Lonchura striata: one gene and its partners. The main gene of each other region encodes a partner of the protein of the gene in region 2 in a complex. Links are inferred from orthologs where the notes say so. Each region holds a gene or a part of one and is shown on either strand. Other genes may lie near its edges.

What was found.
Region 1: the proteins of CNNM2 (region 2) and PTP4A1 are in contact, whole or in part, in a crystal structure (PDB 5MMZ), measured with the Mus musculus proteins. The link is inferred for Lonchura striata from reciprocal best matches to the Homo sapiens genes CNNM2 and PTP4A1. Residues at the interface, in NP_291047.2 of Mus musculus: Phe526, Asp528, Val551, Asn553, Glu556, Gly557, Asp558, Pro559, Phe560, Tyr561; in NP_035330.1 of Mus musculus: Asp72, Gly73, Ala74, Gly107, Leu108, Gly109, Arg110, Arg137, Arg138, Gly139, Ala140, Phe141, Asn142, Lys144, Gln145.
Region 3: the proteins of CNNM2 (region 2) and ARL15 are in contact, whole or in part, in a crystal structure (PDB 8F6D), measured with the Homo sapiens proteins. The link is inferred for Lonchura striata from reciprocal best matches to the Homo sapiens genes CNNM2 and ARL15. Residues at the interface, in NP_060119.3 of Homo sapiens: Asn490, Val492, Pro521, Leu522, His523, Phe524, Val525, Phe526, Thr529, Glu537, Lys542, Ser543, Gln549; in NP_061960.1 of Homo sapiens: Tyr92, Ser94, Arg95, Gln98, Gln128, His129, Pro130, Gln131, Cys133.

Annotation. Positions count from the first base shown.
Region 1 is NC_134605.1:88,071,086-88,078,651, reverse strand, and holds the start of PTP4A1 (protein tyrosine phosphatase type IVA 1), read left to right. Parts: upstream 1-4,550; 5' UTR 4,551-4,555; coding exon 4,556-4,660; intron 4,661-6,181; coding exon 6,182-6,274; intron 6,275-6,647; coding exon 6,648-6,778; intron 6,779-7,566. Other genes in the region: uncharacterized protein LOC144246073, read left to right, coding at 4,111-4,206. UniProt on the Homo sapiens protein: Protein tyrosine phosphatase which stimulates progression from G1 into S phase during mitosis. May play a role in the development and maintenance of differentiating epithelial tissues.
Region 2 is NC_134609.1:20,271,506-20,279,026, reverse strand, and holds the start of CNNM2 (metal transporter CNNM2), read right to left. Parts: upstream 3,097-7,521; coding exon 1,524-3,096; intron 1-1,523. Other genes in the region: AS3MT (arsenite methyltransferase), read right to left, coding at 6,188-6,286, 7,087-7,221.
Region 3 is NC_134642.1:32,441,900-32,449,929, reverse strand, and holds the start of ARL15 (ADP-ribosylation factor-like protein 15), read right to left. Parts: upstream 3,047-8,030; 5' UTR 3,003-3,046; coding exon of another isoform or gene 2,991-3,002; intron 1-2,990.

The DNA of each region.
Region 1 (7,566 bases), on a different chromosome or scaffold from region 2:
TAAGGCTTCTTTGCATATTGTTTTGGTGGTCCAAGCAAAAAAACTTTGAACCAGATCACATGGTCTTGGTTTCATCATCTCTAAAAGTTGCATTGACTTGTTATGCAGGAAGTTTTGAGATAATTTTTTCTTCCCACTTCTTGAACCACAAGAATACGCTTCTGGCATAGAGCATGTTGCAACAAATTTATGATAAACCTTTGGATTCTCCCTTCCCATTGGTGATATATGAATCTGTTTGCATAGGCAATGGGTCACTTTCCATGGTCGAAAATGGACAGTGTTATCACAGGATATCATAAGGGCAGGCAATTATTTGCCCAGTAGATAGGAGGTGCATCTTGTCAAGAGTACCTTGTGAAGGTGTGCTTCTACCTTGTGTTATGGCTTTGCAGTTTGTACCCCTTACCCTCTCACTCTTCACTGTCTGCTTTGGCAGTTGCTGCTGATGCCTTGAATAGTAAGAAGCTGGAGGTATTTGTCATTCTTTTTGTTGGGTAGTAAGTTAGAACAATGAGCTTCCTTGCAGGTGTCAAATTGTGAAACTTCGTTTATTTTAATTTTCTAGTGTTAGTCCTGTGGTTTCAGTAGGTGAGTGTGTGTAAGGTCTTGACTTAAGAGATTGTGAGACCACATAATTGGTTCTGGGTATAAATGTTTTCAGTCTGTGAGCAAGTGGATTGAGCAACCATGAACCATCTTGCACATGTTCTGAAGATAAAGTGTCACATAACTGTGTTAAGAAGTGCTTTTGTTTGCATGCTTTTCAAGATGCTACTGAGTTGTGAACCAGAGTGTCAACAGCGTAGAATAATGTTGTATCTGTCTGCTTTCCCCATGTCAATAATGATCTAATAGATTACTTTTGTAAATCATTTTTTCAGGCATGAGTGACTGTTTCAAACTCCAAATAAACAGCCATGTGAATCTACTTGTCAGTGATGACGGCTCTGTCCCAGAGAAGGGCATGAATTAAAGCCTTCCTTTTCAAAATGCCTTCCTCCTGCTTGAACAGACTATTCTCTAACTTCTGTCTTGAGTTGTAATGGATCATGCAATCATAATTAATGCAGCTATAATGGACAGGTCACCTTCTCTCAATAGGGGGTCTTGGCATATTAACCCTAGTTTTGTTTTCCAAATTTTTTTGGTGGCTCTGCCAGTCTAAATGTTGGACTTTCTGTTGAGATGGAAATTGCTACTTTTTCCAAAATCCTTCAGTGTTAAATTTTCTCGAGGAAAATTTATATATAAATTGAAAAAAATACAGTGATTCAACATACCTAACTTGATGGTACAAACAATGAATTGGTGTAACTCTTAAGAGTCTTCTGCCTTCAACACTACGTGTTTGAATTTCACTTATGCAACTTTTTGCTTTCATGCACTGTCTTGACTCTTTTGATAGCTTACTACCTAAACTGTATGAGACAAAATAATATGAGCTTTTGAAAGCTCATGACATCGTTTGAGTTCCCTCAAAGCCCGAGATCATCATAATTACTGCAACACTATTTTCGTAGCTGATTTCTCATCTCCCCAGTCTTTTTGCTGAAGTTGGGTCAAGCCTTGTACTCTGGCTTAACTGCATAACAGATACAGTATGCCCATGTACTACTCATCTTTCATTTTCATTTGACTCCCAGAACAGAATGAAGCTAGGTTGGCAAAGCTGTCTTGGGATAGTACAATGTGTTTCTGCCTAAAGGTTGGTCTGCCTGTGAAACTTTCCTGCTAGTATTGGTGAGAAGTGACGGCATTCACATCAAAGGAAACTCTGAGCTTTGGTCCTCTGTAGTGTGGCAGCAGTAGTTGCCAAGGCAAACAGTGAGGCTTAAGTACATGCTTGGTTAGGTCCTTAGATGTGTGAGTTACTAAGGTTCTGATGTGTCTAATACTGACTGTTAAGTCAGTAATTAACAAAATTAATTCCTTTGTAAGGGTTAATAACACATGGAACTCAAATGTAACATTGCATAATCTACTTGCTTTTGCTTTGTATAAGAATTTGAACTGTGCACCTAGTTTCTAAAATGTCATTAGCGATCTGCATGAAAAATAAGGATTTTTTTACTTAACTAATTACTTACTGCCTACCCTTTTCTGTGTTTACTGGTTTGTGTGGTATCTTGAGTACTCCTAGCTGGGAGTAAGGGCAACCTGCCTAGAAGACTGGATGAAACCTGATTACTTCATTCTTCTAACCTGCCCTGGTATGGCAACATGTTAAATGTTCTTTTCTCCCCAAAAGCTCAGTTTTGCCAATTGAAAGGTTTTCATCCTAATGACTCCATTCTGTGTCCTCAAGCTCACTTGCATGCATTTGTGTTTCTGACAGTCTTCACTCCCTCATCCTTTAGCAGAGCAAGGGTTTGTCTATGCTTCTTAGCAGTCTTAAAAAGAGATTGACAGGAGATCTGCCAGTGCAGTGCACAAAGCAGCACAAGACCTTGTGCAGCTATATCTGCTTAAAGCTGTCCTGTCCCTTTCTGCTGTTCCGCTTCTTAAACTAATTGAAAGCGACTTTAAATAAGTTACCTTCAGTTCTTTTTTTCAGTTGCTATTTTAGCTGTTCCCTAGATCTGGTCCTAGGAGGCTTTTAAATGCACTCCTGCCACCTTGCTAGGGCATGGCTGGTGAGTCAGATGATTCTTGGAGTCCTTCCGAGTCTGAATTCTTCTGGTTCCTGTTACTCTGTTGACCTTTGACTCAAGAGGCTCCTTCTTACTACTTTTCCACGCCTATTCTATTTAGAGTTCTTGCTCTCTCTCAAGTTGTTAAAAGTAAATACTGAAGTAGCTTTTTTTACAAGTAGCTGACTAACTTAATCCTGGAGTCTGCATCACTACCAGGTGATGGTAGTATCTCTGGAGTGGCAGCAAAGTGGATGTGAAATTGTCATCTTAGTTTCTTTCTGTTGACTTCATTCTCGTGTTTATTAGCAGGTTGGAGTTTTATTGTGTGGTTTTTTGTTTCGTTTGTTTTTTACAAGTCACGCCTATGACTTAACACACACATCAAAACTCTTACCAGGAAGCTGTCTGAAAACATGAAAATAGGTTGACTGATAAACATAAATAACTTTTTCTGCTAAATATTTCTAGGATTGATAGTTTCTCTCAAATACCTAAGTATATTTAGTGGACATGTGATTCAACTTGTACCTCTTTTGGAAAACAGAACTCCCCTCTTCTTCTCTCCTGTGTCCTAGACAGGTATAAGCAGTAATAGTGGTAGAGTAGCTGGGCACAAAACTTAATGCATCTATCTGCTGTAAGGGTTTTACAGGTGTAAAAAAGCACCTATGGGTAGTTCATTTGCAACATCTGCAAATAAATAAACAACTTGGAGCAGTTCATTTGCTATCTTAATTCATGGTTGCTTCTTCCAGTAATTATATGTATAAATTCAACCATAGCTAAGCAGCATACTAGTGGACAGGAATGACCTGTTCAAGAAACTTGCCTATGTTTTTAGCTAGACCATTACTGCTTTCTGTGTATATTAATGAAGTCATGGTGTAAAAAGACTGCTAAAGCATATGAAGGTTGCCATTGGTCTTTAGCACTTATTGTGTAAAACGTTTCTTAGTTAGTAAAGTGTATGCCTCAGAAGCTTCTGTTTAAAAGCCCATGTTGTACTCTTAGGCCACAAAGCCTGCATTTGCTTTCAAGGCCTACTGTTTGAGTCAGGTGGATTTATACACATTTTTTTCTGTAACTTTAGTAATTGTGATGTCTCTCAATTCAAAATGGGGAAGGAAGTTGCATGGGTACCCTGGGAGAACTATTCTTTTTATAAATACTGGGATTTTTAAAACTTGTTGCTGTGTTTTGCACATCTGAAATTGGTATTTTAATACATTACAGGATTTGGTGTTGCAAAAACTCTACATGGAAACTTTGTAATAGATAAATTTATTTATTTTCTAGTAATCCATGCTAAAAAAGGTAACAGGATTCTTGCACAAACCTAATTCTTGGAATAAAAATAAACCTTGTGAAACCCTTAGTTGCTGTGGGTTTTTTTCATGTTATAAAGCTTGATGTCTTAAAACCTTGTTTCACCTGTATTCATTATGCTTTTCCCCCTGCCCCCCTCTCTTTACAGCAGTTCTGTGGTGTTCTTGGTCACACATTTATGGAGTTTCTGAAGGGCAGTGGAGACTACTGCCAGGCACAGCACGACCTCTATGCAGACAAGTGAACTGTAGAAATCCATTACTACTCCACCAAGAAGCCCCCCTAAGAGTGGTTGACCAGGATAAGAAGTGTTGAATTGAAATCGGCAGAGCATTTACCAACGAAATTCAGACCTGGATGGGGTAAACCTCAGTGCACTGCCTTTCTTTTGCCTCAGTATTACTGGATTGAAGAATTGCTGCTTCTTGTTAGGAGGTTCATTTCATTTCCCATTGCTCCCAACATCATACTTCCAAGCACTGAGAATTTCACGTGGAGTATAGTGAAGTAGACTTCAGTTTCTCTACATCAATTCTGTATTAGAATTTTTTTTAATCCTTTCATAATCTTGTTGCATGTTTAACTAAATCAATATGGCCCGAATGAACCGCCCAGCTCCTGTGGAAATCACCTACAAGAACATGAGATTCCTGATCACACATAATCCAACCAATGCAACCTTAAACAAATTTATAGAGGTAAGGCCAGTACAGAATTCTTACGGATGTATTTTTTTAATCCCTGGACAGCATGCTATATTTATATATAAATAAATATATATTTACTAGCTGATAACCGCTCTAAAAGCGATATGAGGAGATACTGAGACTGTATATTGATTTTTATTTTCAAACTGGTGATGTGTTTTGAAGATCTGTAGACAAATCTGCAGATATCTGCAAATCTGCAGACAAATTATATATATTTTGGCCTTCACAAATGTAATTCTGAGAGTGAAGTAATAATTATACTGTCTAGTACATGGTACATTAAGTACATTGTTTAGGTCTGAAAACAGGAATTATCTAGCAGTGTTATTTGTAGAGCCATACAAACATCTCTTAGTTGTAGATTCAGATTGGGCTGAAGTGGTGTAATGTTTTATTGCACTTCCTGCATAGTGATACATAGTGTGGGTTAGAACCTGAGGAACTAGTAATAGGATTGCAATGTGCTTTCACTGCCTAGCTTCCTTTACTATTAGCAGATCGTGGTTTTAGTGTAGTTTAAGAGGATCCTCTGTGTCATAGTGCCTACATGAGTGAAATTTGTGGCACTCAGAGCTGCTGAAGCTGCTTCAAGTGCTTTGGTAAATGCTACTGACTAAAGCCAGTGGCTTGGGATATATTGGTAGTACTGAATTTATCATCTAAACCATGTATTTAGCATGTTGGAACTGTAAAGTGCATGGTTGTATAAAGTGTGTGTGTATGCTGATAAGTTCCTACAGAGCTACTTCATGAGAAGGTCCAAGTTTGCCAGGTCACTCCTTAGCAAGATTTTAGATGTACTGCACCTCAATTCTGTATTTGGTGCAGAATTATTTACAGGAAACAAAATATTTGCTTGACTTTATACTCTCACAAGTAGATCAGGTCTGCTTAGGCTATGCTTCAGTCATTACTCTGACAGCTGCAGTGTGAATGATATTTGTTGCAGGGAGAATGAAGAGGGATTTTTTTTTGTTTTGTTTTTTTTTTTATGTAGGGTAATAGCAAAATGGAAAGCTAAATTTTGTCTTGACATCTCAGGAACTAGAATAATTTATTGTCCTGTGCTTGTAGCTCTTAAGAGTAAGTGGTCTAAAAAACCTGTTTTAAGCAGAGGGAGAAGATTTGAACTTTGCTCAGAATGCTTTTAGTGAAATATGTAGCTTTGCAAAGCTTCATGGTCCTTTAAGATGAATGATCATTTGGAGATGGACTACTTGATTAATCAATATTTATCAGGATCTGATTTTAAAAGAAGAAAGTCCAACCCAGCATAACAAAACTTAGTCTGCACGTAAGACCATGTTTGCAGAAAAGCCTAAAGTATCTGGCATTAGCACACAAGTTTTTAGTCATTTCAGCTTCCTGTGTCTTTGCAGGATGGCAAGCATTTGCATAAGTTTTGCTACTGAGAATTTTGGAATGAGTTCCTCAGTTAGCCTATCAAGAAAATTAAATGGTTAAGTGAAGCTAGTTTACTCTTACAGCATTTTTTTTCCCACTCCTTAGGAACTTAAGAAATACGGTGTTACTACAGTGGTGAGAGTGTGTGAAGCTACTTATGACACTGCTCCGGTGGAAAAAGAAGGCATTCAGGTTTTGGTAAGTTGTGTAGAAGCAGACTTTGAAACCAATGCATTTTACTGTTCACTCTATCCCCTTCCCCTCAAAAAGAGATTATTTGACACCACTGTATTAACTTCGAGTGTATTCCAGCAACTGATGGAGTAAAGATGTGGAGACATCTTTTCTTGTCTGGAAAAAAAATCAATTTTTGAGCTAAATCATGTGAGCAATGAAAACTGATTGAGAGGAATCTATTTGTAATCTTGCTATAGCTAGACTATTAGAAAATTGTAGGTTTCAGTGGTTTCCTCAGCTGTCAGCTCTGTGTCCATTGTGTCCCCTCCGTTTCTTTGCCTGTGCATACAGCTTACTAGAATTCTGTCTTTGTGTTTGTAACCCTGTGTTCTAGGACTGGCCCTTTGATGACGGTGCTCCACCATCCAACCAGATTGTTGATGATTGGCTAAACCTCCTTAAAGTTAAATTTCGTGAAGAGCCTGGTTGTTGTATTGCTGTACACTGTGTTGCTGGTCTTGGAAGGTGGGTGAATGTTTAAAGATTTGTTGAATTGTCATCTGTGGCCAGACTTGTTAAGATCTAATACAAAAGTTTACTTGAGGCAAATGTAAAATAGTCATGTATCCAGCATTGGAATTACCTCACGCTTAAAAGTAGTTAAGAGGCCAGGAAACTGTTGAAGTTATTAAAGATCTTTAGGTCAAGAGATGATGCTTCAGTCAAAGCTCTCACAAAGTCTACATAATTAAGTTAACGAGTATATTCTTGTACTGAATATGTGAATAAATGCCCCATTGAGCTTTTTTGTCTGTTTTTCCCTAATGGATTTGGGGTTTTGTGACTTGCCTGGTTTCTCTCCATCTCCATTTCAGCAGTATTGCCAGTCTCCTTGAACCAAGGGCATTGTAACCGTTAACTGCAAACAAGTGGGTGGTTCCGGCACATCAAGACCAGCTTTTGTTCACAACCTATTTGGGGGATGAAAAGTGTTTTCCAAAGACCCAAAGCTGTTTGTCTCATTTCTAAGTGACATAAAAATTTTTAGGGATATTGCTAAATAGTCTCTTCTTAGTCCTGTTCCTTCTGTCTGCTGCCACTATCTTGAATAGAATTCTAACAACTGTGAGAAAATAATGTTTTTTCTGCTGTTCTAAACTACTTGGGAACTAGATCTGTTCAAAAAGGAGTTGCTATATTCTAGCCATGGATTTCAGCATGTTCAATATAAAATGGAGGTTTCTGGTCTTGTTGTCCATAAGGCTGACTTATCCACTGCATTATGGCTTCTCAAATAACAAAGTTCGCTGTAG
Region 2 (7,521 bases):
AACCAGCCAACAGTTAAGTGACATCATTGAGTTTCCCACACCCAAATTGCAGATCCTGCAGTGTAGAAACCACAGCCAAGGGAGACCCTCCCTCGTTTCTCCTTCAACACCTCCAAACCCAAGTAAGATTTCCCCATCTCTACACACAGGCTGAAAGACAACCACCACTGCACTGGTCAGTAAAAAGCAGGAGTACGTTCATCTTCTATAAACAAAGATGAAATAAACATGAGGTAACTCTCCAAATCCCCAAAAACCGAGTTAAACAGGATGAAGAAGATCCAATGCCTTGACACAAGAGCTTAGCATGTGGTCAAAACAGCAACTGAAATTTAAGTCTTAATTTCAATTTATCTAGAAAGAACATGCACCAATTCACAAAGCTTTTTTTTTTTCCCTAGGTAATTTATGCAGTTAAAAGGTAAGCTCAAATATTCTCCACTAGATTTCCCCTCTCAAGCAAATCACCCCCCAAGAACTGAGCTGTTCTGTGGTACTTTGATCAGATCTCCCAGGTATGAACCCAGGACTCTGGTGGCACTCCAAATAGCCTTTCTTTTTCCAGCACAGGAGTCCACACATCCAAACTGCCTGAAATTTCACTTAACAACTACTTTGAAAGGTCCTTCCTGCACAGGCTACACAGCATTATTATTTGGTTTGCAGAGAGGAACAGATTTTAAAAGGAAAACAAAAAGATGTTTTTTCCTTACACATAAGCAAGACCTTCTAACACGAATTAAGATGCATTTGTCAAGTCAGCACCACCTACAATTAAGAGAAAGGCTGAAAGCTCAGTCCCATCCTGATGCCACTAATACACAAGCTACACCAAAGAGGTAGAAAGGGTCACCTCTCTGCTGAGCCTGTGGTCCTGAAGCACAGGGTAGCCTGGGGAAAAAGAGCTGTAACTCTGAAGTGCAGCACCAACAGGTACTTTGGAATACATTTTAAGACATTGAAATGATTTGAGTTACAAGATCAAAGTGTCAGTCAAAGCAACTGGAACACGGGGAGAGAGCTGAAGTCGGTTGGCTGAGCCTATGAATGGAGCTAAAATGCCTTGTTTATCTCAGCACGTGTATGCACTGAGCCTGAAAGGCACCAAGCAGCCCACCCACTCCTCCCAGTCAGGCCAGCTGAAAAAGCACAGAGAAGACACAGCCAAGAAATGGGCGCAGATTCCCGTCAGTGGTTCTCACTATAACAGACAGATGAGTGGAAAAAGCAAGAAGGAAAACAACCTTGCTTGGCACCATGCCCACACACACATCCCAGTGCAGTGGGGGAAAAAAGGCTGGGGGCACATCCCAGCCGTGGATCAGCTTTCTGGCCCAGGGAACAAGCAGCTCTGGGAGATGTCTAAATACTGGTCACTCACAGCGCAGAATGCACCTTCCCACAGCCCTCTGTGAGCAGTGACCCGAGGGCCCGCTGCAGAGCTCCCTTGGTGCAAGCAGGTGGATGCTGAGCACACCGAGCAGCACCTCCCCAGCATGCCCCCACCACAGGCACGAGCCCACCTTTCTTGAACTCCTCCAGCATGGCATCGAGCTTGGTGTCATTGAAGACAAAGTGCAGCGGGTGGTTGTAGAAGCGGGTGATGGTCTTGAGTGGCGTGCAGTCATCGGGGTCCACAAAAGCCAGGTCCTTAACGAAGAGCAAGTCCACGATGTTGGAGCGGTCACCCTCGAAAACAGGGATGCGGGTGTAACCACTCTCCATGATCTCAGACATAGTGTTGAAGTCGAGCACAGCCTCGGCAGCGATCATAAAGCAGTCTCGGAGGGGAGTCATCACATCCTCCACAGTCTTGGTGCGCAGTTCCAGGGCTCCTTGGATAATGTTAAGCTCCTCCTTGACTAAATCGTTATAAGGGTCGGTGACCCGCAGCATCTCCAACAACTTCTCACGGTTATAGACCGTGCCGATCTCCTGGCCCAGGACACAATCCAGCAACTTGCTGACGGGGTAGGAGGCCGGGAAGGTCATCATCATGAAAAACTTGGTGAGGAAGATGGTGTTGGCGCCCACGGCCAGGCCGTGCCGAGAGCAAATAGCCTGCGGCACGATCTCGCCGAAGATGACGATACCGATGGTGGAGACCACCACGGCCACCAGCCCAGAGCCGGCAATGTCGTCCAGCAGGATGGTAAGTGTGGTGTTGACCAGGACATTGCCCAGCAGGAGGGAGCACAGCAGGTAGTTGCCCTGACGCCGCACAGGCTCGATGCGCTTGGCGTAGTTCTTCTCTTTGTCCGTGCCACAGTTCTGCACGATGCGCAGTTCCATGGGGTCCAGGGCCATCAGGCCCAGGTTGAGGCCACTGAACATGCCCGAGAGGCACAGGAGGAGCGAGATGAAGATGACCTGCAGCCAGAAGGGCAGCAGGAACTTCTTCTCCTCGCCCACGATCATCTTGGTGTCCTCGCCGTCATGGTAGATCCAAGTGGTCTCACCCCAGGGCGGGGGTCCCGCCGGCCCCTCGGCGCCCGTCAGCCCTCCGGGAGCCCCGGGCCCCAGGGCGGCGGCGGCGGGGGCCGAGACGGAGGTGCACAGGTAGTAGGACTTGCTCTTCTCCGTTTTGCGCAGGGGCTTGATCTCGATCTCGATGATGCCCGAGGTGCGGCGGTTGAGCACGATGTGCGGCATGATGATGATGTCCGAGGTGCGGATGCCGCAGCGCTGCGGGGCCCCGCCGCTGCCCGCCGACCCGCCGCCGCCCCCGCCGCGCCCCGCCGGCCCCGCCGTCGCCCGCCCGCCCCGCCGCCGCTCGTGCTCCGTGAAGGCGATGCGCGACCACGTCTCGTTGTTGATGTTCTGCCCGTAGACCCGCAGCTTCACCCGCGTCCGTTCGCTCACCCGCAGCGCGCCCCCCTCCATGAAGGAGACGTCGTCCGTGTCCTCCAGCCGCAGGCCGATGATCACCGTCTCCTCCGCCGCCGGCGGGGGCACGACGGCGGCGGGCGGTGCGGCAGCGGCGGCGGCCGGGGGCCGCCGGCCCAGGCAGCCGCCGAGCAGCAGCAAGAGCAGCAAGAGCAGCACCCGCGCCCCCCGGCCGCCCCCCGCCATGTTCCCACCGGGCAGCGCGGCCATCTTTAGTCAGGGCTCGGCGCCGCCGCGGCCCCGCATCACCGCGCGGCGCCTGCGGCGTGCCCCGGCTTCCCCGGCGGCGGCGGTGGCGGCGGGCGCGGCGGCGGCGGCGAGCTCGGCGCGGGCTCGGCTGCCCGCGGGACCCGACGGGCGGCAACTGCCGAGCCGGGCCGAGCAGCGCCGCCTCTACCCGCGCCCGCCCCGCCCCGCCCCGCCCGCCGCGCGGGGAGGGGCCTCGGCTCGGCGCCGCCAATCAGCGCCAGGCCGCGCCTCCTCCGCGCCCCGCCCCCGCCCCAGCCCCGGGGGCGCGTGACTCCGGTGTGTACGCCGGGCGCGCGGGGGCGGGGCCGGCCGCAGGGCCGCGGCCAATGGCGGCGGCGTTCGGGGCCGAAGGGGGCGGAGCTTCAGGAGGGGCGCGACCAATGGGGGTGCGGTGCGGTGCGGCCGGCGCGCGCGGCGCGCGGCAGGAGCGGTCCCGGGAGCGCCCGCGCCGGGGCACAGGGCGGCCGAACGGGCCGGGCGATCCCGCTTCCCCCGCCGCTTCCGCCCGGCCCACGGCGGCCGCCGCTCCCCTCGGACCGCCGCGCCTCTCGCCCCCTTCAGTGGCCCGGGAGCGCCGCCCCGCGTCCGCGCGCCGCATCCGTCGGCGGTCGCGCAGCGCCCCCTGGCGGTCCCGCCGCGCCCCTTCGGCCCGGCCCGACGGGGCGCACCCCGGGGCCTCCGCCGGGATCCGCCGCTGCGGAGGCGGCTCTCCTAGCCCTGCCCGTTCCCGGTCGGCCCCGAGCCGCCGCCGGTGCAGTACATGCGACATTCAAGAAACCGAGCTGTGGCACTGAGGTCCCCGGGCGCCCTCCGCCCCGACATCTCCTCGGCTGTGTCGCGCCTGAGGGCGGAATTAACCATTAAATACCGAGCACGGACCGGCCGCGCTCCTCCCTCACCTCTGCTCTGCTCCGCCGCCCCGGGAGGTGAGCGGGGCCGGGGCTTGGAGCTCCTGCTGAGGACATCCAAAGCCGCCCCAGCTGCCCCGCTCCGCTCATTCTCAGTTCATGGAGGGCCGGGAGCCCCGATCCACGAAAGCACCTGTGAATCCCCGTGTGCCGTGCCCACCGCCCCGAGGGCCCGCCTGCTCCCCAGGCCTCGGCTGCTGTGCCGCAGTCCCAGCTCGGGCAGCACACGCCCCGCAGCCGGTTCCATGTCCATCACATGTGAAGGAGCCAGGAAACAGTTCAGCATCCTGGACAGCCAAAGACAAACAGCCGTGGGAGAACCAGTGTGGCTTGTGGTGGCTGACATCCTTTAGAGGCGGTAAAACAGCCTCCCTGCTTTTTAAGTGCTTGGGAAATGGAAGAATAAATTGTGCAGGGCAACCCAAGATGTGAAGCAGAGCACAGTGCTCTGGTGCCTGTAGCCACAAATCTTGCCTGGTCCCAAAGCTCATTCAGCTTATCCTAAGGCAGTTCTGCCAGCCTGCTCCCCTAAGGAGGTGACAGGTGTCCCTGAACCACAGCAACACCCTTCCCTTTCCTCTCAGAGTGAATCAGACCATCACAACCTCTGGATGCTGCCATCACAACACCCTCTCTGCCTGCCAAGGGAGGACACCAATGCTGCAGAGCTTCACACTAGGAGAACAATCACCAAAATACAGACTGGGGTGCTGGACAAATTATGTCGGGGTCCCTCACACGGGATAGGGCTGCAGGATTTCCTCTTTTCATACACTGAGGGCTAAAAAACCCAAGGCTGTGCATGCACAAGTAAAACCAGACAAAGCGGACACCACTGCACCCACAGCCTGGTGAGGACCTCTAATGCTCCACATCAAAGTCAAGTTCTCTTAGTTGCTTCCATCCTGACATGCTGAGAATTTCGGAAAAACATAGTGCTATGCAAATGTAGTGGCATTTAAGCCGTGGCCTTTTTCTGTATGCACAGAGAGGGGATCTCACTGTGGGTGCAGCTCTACCCAGGCAAGTTGAAAGACCATGCCAGGGATTCATCTCTTTTTAATGAAGGGATTTGCAGGTAGGACTCCCCCACACCCCACCTGCTCTTCCCTTCCCACTGGGAAAGCTGTCTTTGATAGCAGGAGCTAATTGCTGCAATCCTCCCAGGATAAACTGCTTGGGGACTTGGATGAAGTCTTTGTAAGTAATCTTGAAAAAGGGCTGGGGGTTGGGTGTGTGTATTAAACAGCTCCTTCCTTCCAAGGTCCCATCAGTGAGGTCATTCCACACAATTTCAGAACAATTTCAGGTGTCCTGAACACCTGGACCCTCCTCAGCCACTGCTACTGCTATGACAGAGCATCCTTGGTGTTGGCCTGTTTCTTTTTGAACCCAAATTTTATTGGGGTTTGCTTCTTAACTTCCCTCATACCACAGCAAGTTGATGCTTAAATGGCAGAGATGGGAAATTTGGCCCCTCCTGTAAAATCACTGTGTGAGAAGGGGTGGAAATGGTCCCTTATTTCTAAGTTTAGCTGTTCAGCAGCTCTCAGCCTTTCCCAAGCACCTTCTGTGGGCTGGGTCCTGTGAGATTCATGCTGGGCAGCAGGAATGCAGACCATCACCTCCCACCACACCCTAAAAGCCCTCCCACCTTGCTCTTTGCCTGCTGTGGGATGCAGCTGGATGCATTTCTGCTTTTCCAGAACTGCTGAATTTCCCTGCAAAACTCTGCAGGTGCAATGCCTGCTGGGGACTCGGGGCTTTCCAGCTAGATGGAGAACAGGGAAAACAGAAACCTCAGTGGCGCTGCACAGGGAAAGAGAGAGCAACCCTCATCTCCTGTAACAGGCTGCAGGGCTGCAAGTGAGACAGAGACTGTCCCTGCTTGTGTGCCCAAGCCATGCAGCCACAGTCAGCCCCACAGTGAGGGGACTCACAGGATGGGACCTCACTGCAACCAGGCACAACCTGCCCCACCAGCCCTGCCAGGGAAGCACAGCACCCACGGCCCTGTGGCAGCTACAAACACAACCTTTGAGCTCAGACATGTATTTATTTGCTCTCTGGTGGAAGACGTTACTGGAGCCACGTCCTCTCATTCCACTGACTTCCAACAGTGGTGTGGGGACACCACTTGCCACTCAGCAGCACCCTGGAGGACCACAGGTGCCACCAGAACAGCTAGCAGGACCTGGGGCTCTCAGCTGCTCCAGCAGCTGGAAGGGATCACAGATTTTCTCCTGAAGGACAGAGAAAAACCCAGGGCAGGATCAGGCCAGTGGGAAGCAAGAGGCACCTGAGAAAATGACACTTGGCACTTCCTTAGCTATCATGGGGGGCAGCCTCTGGGACACTCCAGCTGTTTTTTCCTGCAGCAAGGAAGAAGCCTGGGACTTTGGCTCTGCTTTTATCTGAGAAATGCCTCCTACTTGGATAGAGTCCTGAGAAAATCTCCCCTTCCCAAGCACGAGGCTGTATTTCAGGGATATGCAGCTGCAGGGGATTATCTCACTTGTATCTCCTGGCCCATCTACAGGCTTCAGGGACCACCAAGGAGAAGAGATAGGCTTCCAGCAGATAGAATGTTTTGTGCTACAGGGTCAGGGTTGGCAGCCAGGGCCAATCTGCTCTTCTATCAGCAGGCAGGAGGGCAATGGGCAGGAAGAAACCATGGGAATGGGTCATCATCTCCCTGGGGCAGGCTGTGTACAGCAATCCCCTCAGGGGAAGGATGACTCCCCTTGGGAGATCTCAGAAAAGTCCAGCTGTCAGCCTCACCAGTCCCCATGGACATGTTGGGGTAGTTAGAGCAGATCCCCCTTTGGAGGGCTCCAACTTGGGTAGGGGTACACTTTATCCTGACTCAGGCACCAGGCATCAATCACTCTTGGTATCCCACGAGCTTCTGCCCAGCCCAGAAGGAGTCACATGTATCTTGATATCATGCTACAGCCCTTCTGATACCCCATAGCAACTCTGATGGCTTGGGACACCCATGTCCCAATTCCTTAACCCAGCCACAGAGCTGCCCTCTACCAACCTTCACTCCTTTGCTACAGCAGCCCTGCAGTCCTGCAGCGTTGGCTCCACCAGCTCGGATCAGGAACTTCTCCGCAAACCTGGAGCTCTGCAAGATTGCAGCCATCTCAGCATCCACGTTCACCACCTCTCCTTCCTGAGGGCAGAGGGATGGTCACAGGACTGGGGTCCTGGATATGTGTCCCAGGGGACTCCAGCCACCCAGCCAGATGATGGGGAGAGTGAAAGCAGGAGCACATCTTGGCCCAAAACCTGAAGAAACCCCCACAAAACCCAAGCATCAGGAAACCATTCCAGGAAGCCACCATGGATGTCCTACTTCTACATTTACCACAAAGCCATGCATGCATCTGTCTCCCTTTCCTGTACATTTGCACTCCCCTGGGTTTACACAGCTTCTTGGCTCCCACCCTCCATCCCCTCCAGCAAAGCTTGC
Region 3 (8,030 bases), on a different chromosome or scaffold from region 2:
AGTGCAGAGGATTCCACTGAAGAAGTGTATTTTGAAAGCCTACTCAGGAGCTTAAAAATCTGCATTGTAATTGCAGCACATAAGAAAAACCGAAGCCTTTTTATTGTTTTCTCACAAGTTCTCCAAGCAAGAACTATAAGACTGGTCACATGCCATGCTTTTCACAAGATGCATCATGGTGTAAAACTTCTTAAATTAAGCATAGTCTACTGAACAGAGGCCAACCAACACAAGTCTCTGAATACACTAAAATCCTTCCAGACATAATGTAGCAAGAATGAAGCTGAAGAAGGTTGCAGACAGTACTCTAGATTACGTAGTCACAAAAACCTACAAATCTACGTTGACACAGCTGTGTTCACATAGTATGTTTGAAAAGAGTTAACTAAATGCAAGCAGAACAACACATTTAAGTAAAAGGTTCCTCTGGGTGAAAATGTATTCTTTTTTAGAAGTTGGACTTGGCTTAGCCATGTTGATTTAAAAAAAAAAGAAAGAAAAACCACCACACCACTCCTAACATCATAACTATATCAACACAGAAATAAAAAAAGGCACCAGGTTGGAGAGCCTCTTCTAGCTATCAAAGATACAGAGGCCAGTGATACTTTTTTGTACAATGTAAAACTGCAAAAACAAACCAGAGCCTCACAGAAGATCCTTTTGTAATACCAATTTATTATCAAAGGGCATTAGCCATAAATCAAGGATCACAAGGAAGGCACTATGCAGGTTCTGGGCATCTGCCCATAAAAGTTTCAGGCCATAGCTCAAGCTGGCTCCAAATGGTTTTGAATGCTTTCAATAACCTGATAATATTGGAAGGTGCTTCAGATGTTCACTACTTCTTGGTATCTGCTTCTTAATGGAAAAAAGACATTTCCATCAATGTAGGTCCTATCCAGTTAAAATCAGGAAAAGAACCTTCCTATGCAAGTTTGGGAAGAGCTAGCTAGACTCTTCTGGCTAGAAGAGGGTAGACTCCTTGTGGAGATGCATTGACCCCTGAGTTCATGCAGCAACAAACCTGATCTCATCTATCCACATCTCCTTCCACTACACTCCCTCACTCAGCCCCACTGATAACCAGAACTCTGTCAAATACTCTGTCTCAGCACTTCTGCAAGAGGAAACAACTCATCCTTTGCTCTCTGCTTCACACTGCAAGCACAGGAGAAAACTTCACTGGCTGCAGGCCGCAACACAGGTACCCAACATGAGGAACCAGCAAAGAGACTTTCTGTTTGTGTTTTCATGCCCATATACGTGCAAGAACCCAACATAAATGCACAAAACACAAAATTCCTTAAAATGTATAGCTCTTTTTGCTATGGAAATAATGAGACAATTGTTCTACAGCTATAGATTAATATTTACACTGTAACTTGATAAAGAGTAGGCCCATCTTTATACCAGGGCAGACTGGGTACACAACTAGTTGCCTAACTGACCATCTTTTTTTTTTTTTTTTGGTTACAGCAGACTTTCTGAGGTGCCTGAACCTCATGATCTATGAGGGTTTTTTAGAACTGACACCAAAGAAGGCCACACAACAAAAATGAGGCAAATGACCTGCTGGAGAACAAGAGTCAGGGGAAGAAAAAAAAAAAAGTTGAGCTATTTAATCCCCACCCCTCTGTAGTTAATACAAAAACATCTTCTTAGTTTGCATGGCTTATTAAATTTATTGTTCTCAGAGTGGTTGGCCTTCCACACAACAGCCTGTAGCAATCACAAAGGTTCATGCAAGCATTTGAAAAAGTACAGAATGGCCAGTTTCATCTGGCCATAAGCTTATAAAGGGAAAAAAAAAACCTCAGAAACAGCTCCAGGCTCTCAAGGAACTATGAGGCTGCACTTGATACCCAGCAAGTTCATTATCAGTATTTCATTAACTAGGTTGTTAAAGAGAAGTCTGCCTACCATTTCTGCCACACAGAACTCATATTCTAGTGTCTCTATGTAGTATTCAAATTCAGAAAGGCAAGCCTAAAACATTTTTGGGGGTTGCAAGGCTCAATAAACCAAAATAAATCTTAGCTCCACAGACACAAGATTAGTGAAGTATTAATTGAACATATTGCTGGTTTAGTTAGCTGCCAGAAAATGAAAAGCCAGACACTGCATGCAGCTCTCATCTCAGCAAGGCAAATATTCTGCTCACTATAAAGAGCATCTCCAGAGATTCTGTTGCATATGTTGACCCTCTCTTGAAAGCCTACATCCATGAGCATTCCGAGTGAAAAAGTATGAATGATAGAGTCAAGATTCTGACTCCAAATACTTCCTGGTCGCACTTGACACCAACAACAAGCAGGGATGACCAGAAGATACCTGCTCTTCACTGCCCCAGCTGACGCTTCGCAGCACTTCACGGTGAAGGAGCGGGCACCAGTTCACAGTGCAGGACTCGAAGCAACAAGACTGGAGCAACGGGATGCCAGCCGGACTAGAGCCATGGGATGTGCTCGTTACGCCCCCCCACTGCTAGGCTGAAAAGACCAGGTAAGCGGGTACCACACTAAAACAAAGCCACCTGCTCATTAGCCAGCCGCGCCACAGGGTTTTTGTCCGCCGAGGGTGCGCGGATGAGTGCAAACACCAGCCACGATCCCAGTTGAGGTGCACGCCCGCGATACGATCTTTCACAGACGAATGAAGCCAATATTCATTAAAAAGCCATAAACACTACCCCCGAATACCAGCTGCCTGGGCGCTCGGCTGATCCCGTCCGCGGCAGCAATTTAGTTCACTGAAGCATGCCCTAAGCTCTAGCATTTAGGAAAAAAACAGCGACCCGGGTCACGGCTTCAGCGACCTAATAGCGGCCAAATGAGCGGGGCTCGGCCGCTTTATCGCCCGTTACCAGCCCGCCGGGCCGGGCGCGGCAGCGCGGCCGGACCCGGCTGCCCCCCGGCCCCGGGCTGCCCCCCACACCGACCCAGCCGCTCAGTAAAATGTCCGACGGTCCGCTGCCGCCTGGAACCTACCAGGTAATCCATGTACCGGAGCGGCGCCGGGCGCCGGGCTGCCGAGCTCTCTGCAGGGGCCGCGGGCGCCCGCCCGGCTGACAGCAGCGCTGGGCCGGCGGGGCAGCGGCGGCGCGGGGAAGCGGCGGGGCCGGCGGCGCGGGGCGCGGGCGCGGCGGGGCCGGGCGGGCGCGCCGGGGGCGGGCGGGGGGCGCGGGCGCTGCCCCGGCGGGCTGTCAGAGCCGCGCTGCCGCCCGCACCTCGCGGCGGAGGGAGCGGGCAGGGGCGGGCCGGGGCGGGACGCGCCGTCAGCTGATCGCACACGTGGGGGCGCGGCCGGGCCGCCCTTAAAGGCGTAGGCGCGCCGCGGCCGCGCGGGGCGGCTCTCGGGGCTGTGTTATCCCGCAGCCAAGCACATCAGAGGAGGGCAACGGGCTGCAGCGCCGAGTCCTGGGAGGAGCACCTGAGGGAGCTGGGCGTGTTTATCCTGGGGAAAAGGGGGCTCACGGGAGACCTTATCACTCTCTACAACTGCCTGAAAGGAGCCTGTGGCCAGGTGGGGGTTGGCCTCTTCTCCCAGGCTCCCAGTGACAGGACGAGAGGATATGGTGCTAAGCAGCCCCGGGGGTAGGGGGATTCAGTTGGACATTAGGAAGAAGTTCTTCACGGAAGGGGTGATTAGACACTAGAGTGGGCTGCCCAGGGAGGTTGAGTCACCGTCGCTGGGGGTGTTTGAGGAAAGACTGGACGTGGCACTTAGTGTCATGGTCACGTCCACTTAGTTGAGTCGTGGTGTTTGGTCACAGGTTGGACTCGATGCACTCATAGGTTTCTTTCCCATTCTAATCGATTCTGTGGTGGTTCCCCTAAGCACCCGTGAAAGCAACGCCCATGTCTCCTATTGCAACCTGACATCCTAACCTGGAGGCTTTTCCACAAATGTAAGGTGTTGGTAGGAATGCCTGACTCCTGGAGAAGTTGAAGGGAAGTTCTCCATGTCTATGACAGTCAGATAGAAAATATAGAAATGAGGCATCAAGTGAAAAAATAAGGCAAAAAAAACCAGAGTGTAGTTAAACTAACTAGGAGAGTAGGTAAGTAGGTAAGGAGCAACAACAAATCAGTATTTGTAAGGATGCTGGTGAGCGATTAACTTACATCTAGTAAACTGGCGTGGGGTAAAAAAAATTACAATTACTGCTCTGAATTTTGTAACTAATTGTGGACAGTCTCAGTTACTGTATCTGGAGAATGTCAGTAAAATGTTCTCCTTGTGCCTGCCCAAAACACACCTTGCCAATGGATAATTCATTTTCCTCATACATCTAGTGTAGAAAAAAATTGATTCCTTTGGCAGTCCTTTCTTTACTTTGGGATTCAATATCAAATACATCTGAATAGCAACTGAAGTTTAATTTAAATTACTACATATGAATTTTTTAATTTTTAATCATTTAGAAGTTGACGAATTTTAGTACTTTAATAGGTAATGGGTGGAAAGAGGGATACAGGCTTGGCCCTTCCTGCTCTTCAGCATTGTGACTGTTTTTCATGTAGTCACAGATATTTCTGGCAACTGTCTCTTGATCCTGAAGTGTCCTTTTGACAGGGAGAACCACAGTGTAAAGACTACTTTAGCCACTACAGGGATGGATAAAGTAGGCCTCTCAATAATATAACACAGGAGCTGCTAGAAACTGATTTCATCATACGTCTGTCATCATATATGATCTTTAACATTTTGCAGTGCTTTCCCCTTAACAATTAAAACCTTTTATTTCTTCTTTTTTATTCTTGAGACATGCTGCCTTTTCATGCTTCTTTAAATGAAGGGTGACTGAAATGAGAACATCAAGAACAAGCAGATATTTCAGAATTGTTTCCTGTGAGACAAATAGGAAAGGATTGAGAATTATTACTTGTATAGCTGATTGAGAAGAAAATAGAATCTATGAATCTAGAGAGTTGTTGCAGAGATGCTGCTGTGATAGGAAAAGTAATTGGCTTTCATTGCAAGAAGGAAGATTCAGTTCAGCTAATGGAAAATAATGGGAAGGATATTTAAACATGGACAGACAACACGATCAAAGCTAGTAGAATTTCTGAAAGTAGCCATGAGTTATAATAACACTTCACAGATGTAGTTTAGTCTAGTTACTTAGCACTGATGTACATCTGGAGAAAAAGAGCTAGAAGATCCCTCTGTTTTAAATGAAGCTAATAGATCTGATTATGAAGATGCAGTGTATTTATATATCCAAAGAAAAATGTTTATTCTATTTTATAAATGTGATTTTCTTTCTAGTTTATAAACAAGACCTCATGATCTGAACACAAAATCAGTTTTAAAAAATCAAGAAATTTCTCATGTATACACTGAAAATCCCACAAACTTGATCAAAAGAGAAGCCAAGCTTAAATTTATGTATTAGGCTTTCTGTTCACTGTAAACACATTATTCCTTTGGCCATTGCATAGCCTTATGTACATTAATTTTATTACATAAAGTGGAGATTAACATTGAAAATAGCAGAATGTAAGCAGAAAACAAGTCCTAAGGCATGCCTTCCAGCCTATATAGCAGTCATGATGCTGCTGAGATTTTCCTAGCAAGTCTTGTAACATTTCTTTCATCTAAAATGAAGTTCAGTTTCATATTGGAATATATATGTAATGCAGTGTTAGTTATCTTCGTAAAGAAGCTTGTCAGCAGGAACTTGTACATCAAGATAGGAAGGAAGAGATCAAAGTATTTTAATGGAGCAAATGTCATGTTGGCTGTGAGGTAATTAGTCTGGTTCCAAAAATGGAAGTGAGCTTATGCACAGAAGCACAACTTTATCTTCAGTGAAATCCTGTCACAAGAATAATTTTCTGTAAACTTGTATGAAAAATAATCAATCTGGGACTCAGATTTTGACCCTGAGAATCTCAGTACAACGTTCTATCATCCATTGCTTCTGTCAGTGCAATTTAATGAATTTGAACATCTTAACCTAAGAGTAGCTACCTGATAAATTCAAGCATTTGTCGCACTAGCAGTTAGCAAACTCTGGTGGTGAATTTGACAAAAAGGTGTATTTGTTACTTAATAGATATCAGCAAAATGGGAATTTAAAATGTAAATACTAATGAGTATGTCTATATCCAAACATATTTGAATGGAATTAGTATTGTCTTTGGAATTGCATATCCAGCAGTATATATGACAAATTGTCTAGTGAGAATTATCTTGGAAAACAACTTGAATGACAGGCATACTATAGTAGATCTTTTAATCATATTGCTTTAATTTCCATTCTCATTAGTTAAATAGATTCTGTCAAAATAATGCTTATGTAGAAGTCCTGCAGAAAGCAGTGATGCTATTCATGCAGTAGATGTACATAGAGTGTTGGCACATCATGGTTTGAATGACATGAAAACTGGGTATTTTACAAAAGGTTCAGGTTCCCTAAAACAAAAACACCCAGTAGCACACCAGTGACTGAGACAATCTAAACCACTTTTCCACATGAGAATAATTTCATTTTTTAAAAGGACAAAGTACATGGTATGTTTGTTCTCACCTTGTTCTCTACATCCCACCCAGTTTTTAATAGGGGAAAGGCAAGTGAATATTCCTTTATGATTAGCAAGCAGGTGGCTGCTTTAATTACCAAGTTTTACTGATATAAGGAGCCCTGGTAACTCTGTTTAAGAAAATTAATCACTGGAGCAAAATATTTTACCCTTCAAATTAAAGTTGAGAAGAAAAGCATTTATTATCTTTGAAAGTACTGAAAGAGGCTACTTTACTCATAATTTTCAACATTAGTTTTCCATGGTACAAGGTTGTTACAGCAGACATGCACAAACTCCCATCTTAGCAACTCATAGGATAATTAGCAGGAAAGCAAAACATAATTTTTACCTTCGTGTTAATACCATATACTTACTTTGGAAAATTAAATCTGTAGAAAAATCTCTCATATAAAAATGTGGATTTCTTGGATTTAGGATGCTCATACAGTAATATAAAGGCTCCCAAATGCTAAAAAAAACCCCAAAAAACCAAAAACCAAAAACAAAACAAAACAAAAAAAACAATCTTTATTTGTTATGGCTAGAAATTTAGAATTGGATGTCCTAAAAGGTACAAACTGTGCTTAGTTCAAGAATACAAATGATGTGATAAAACAGTCTCTGACTTCACTGGCAGAATAGAAAAGAAGCTGGACCAAACAGGAAGTTAAAATTAGTTAGAACAGTTCTGTTGTTCACCAGCTGGAAAACTGATAGGAAAAAATATTTGAATGGTCTAATGGTGATAGATTTCTAAGTATGCATTTTAACAATAAATGCATGTGGCCAATTGTGACCAAAAGTATTTCCTAGAAATATCCAGAAGGGCATAAATACATAAAAATAACTGGACAGAGAAATGAAAGAATGAGGTTTTCATTAGGAGAGTTTGAATATTAAATAGATGCCAAGAGCAGTCAGCAGTTTTAGTTGCAGCTCAAATTTCAGTAGTTACTTAGAGGCTTCTGTTAATCAAACTCATGTAACTTGCAGGGAAAGGGAGAAAGTGCTCTGAGTAAATAACGTTTGAAGCAATTTGCAGCTCTTTATCTGATATATTGACAAATGTCAACATGCAGAGATTCTACAGCCAAAGGTGAACGAACGCTACAAGAGAAGCAAAACCACTCAGTCAAAAATATCTTTCTCTTTGCTCTTATGCCTTGGTACCTTCTGGCATTTTGGTCACCATGTGTGCTATGGTTATATATATATATATATATATATATATTTATTTATTTATTTATTTATTTATTTATTTATTTATTTTTGTCTGTAAAAGAACACATGGATATGAAGACAAGAAAACAGATCTTGAAAAGGAATTCTCACCTGTTCTCCCTCTTGTTTCCTGAAATATGTGGCTGACCTTCAGGTAACCTCACTGGCAAAATAACAACAGGCAGTCTAAAAGCAAAGGTTAATGATGGAACAAGGTCAAAAGTAGAAACCAGTTTCCCTCTGTAGTTACAATGATATAAATTTAGGATAATTATA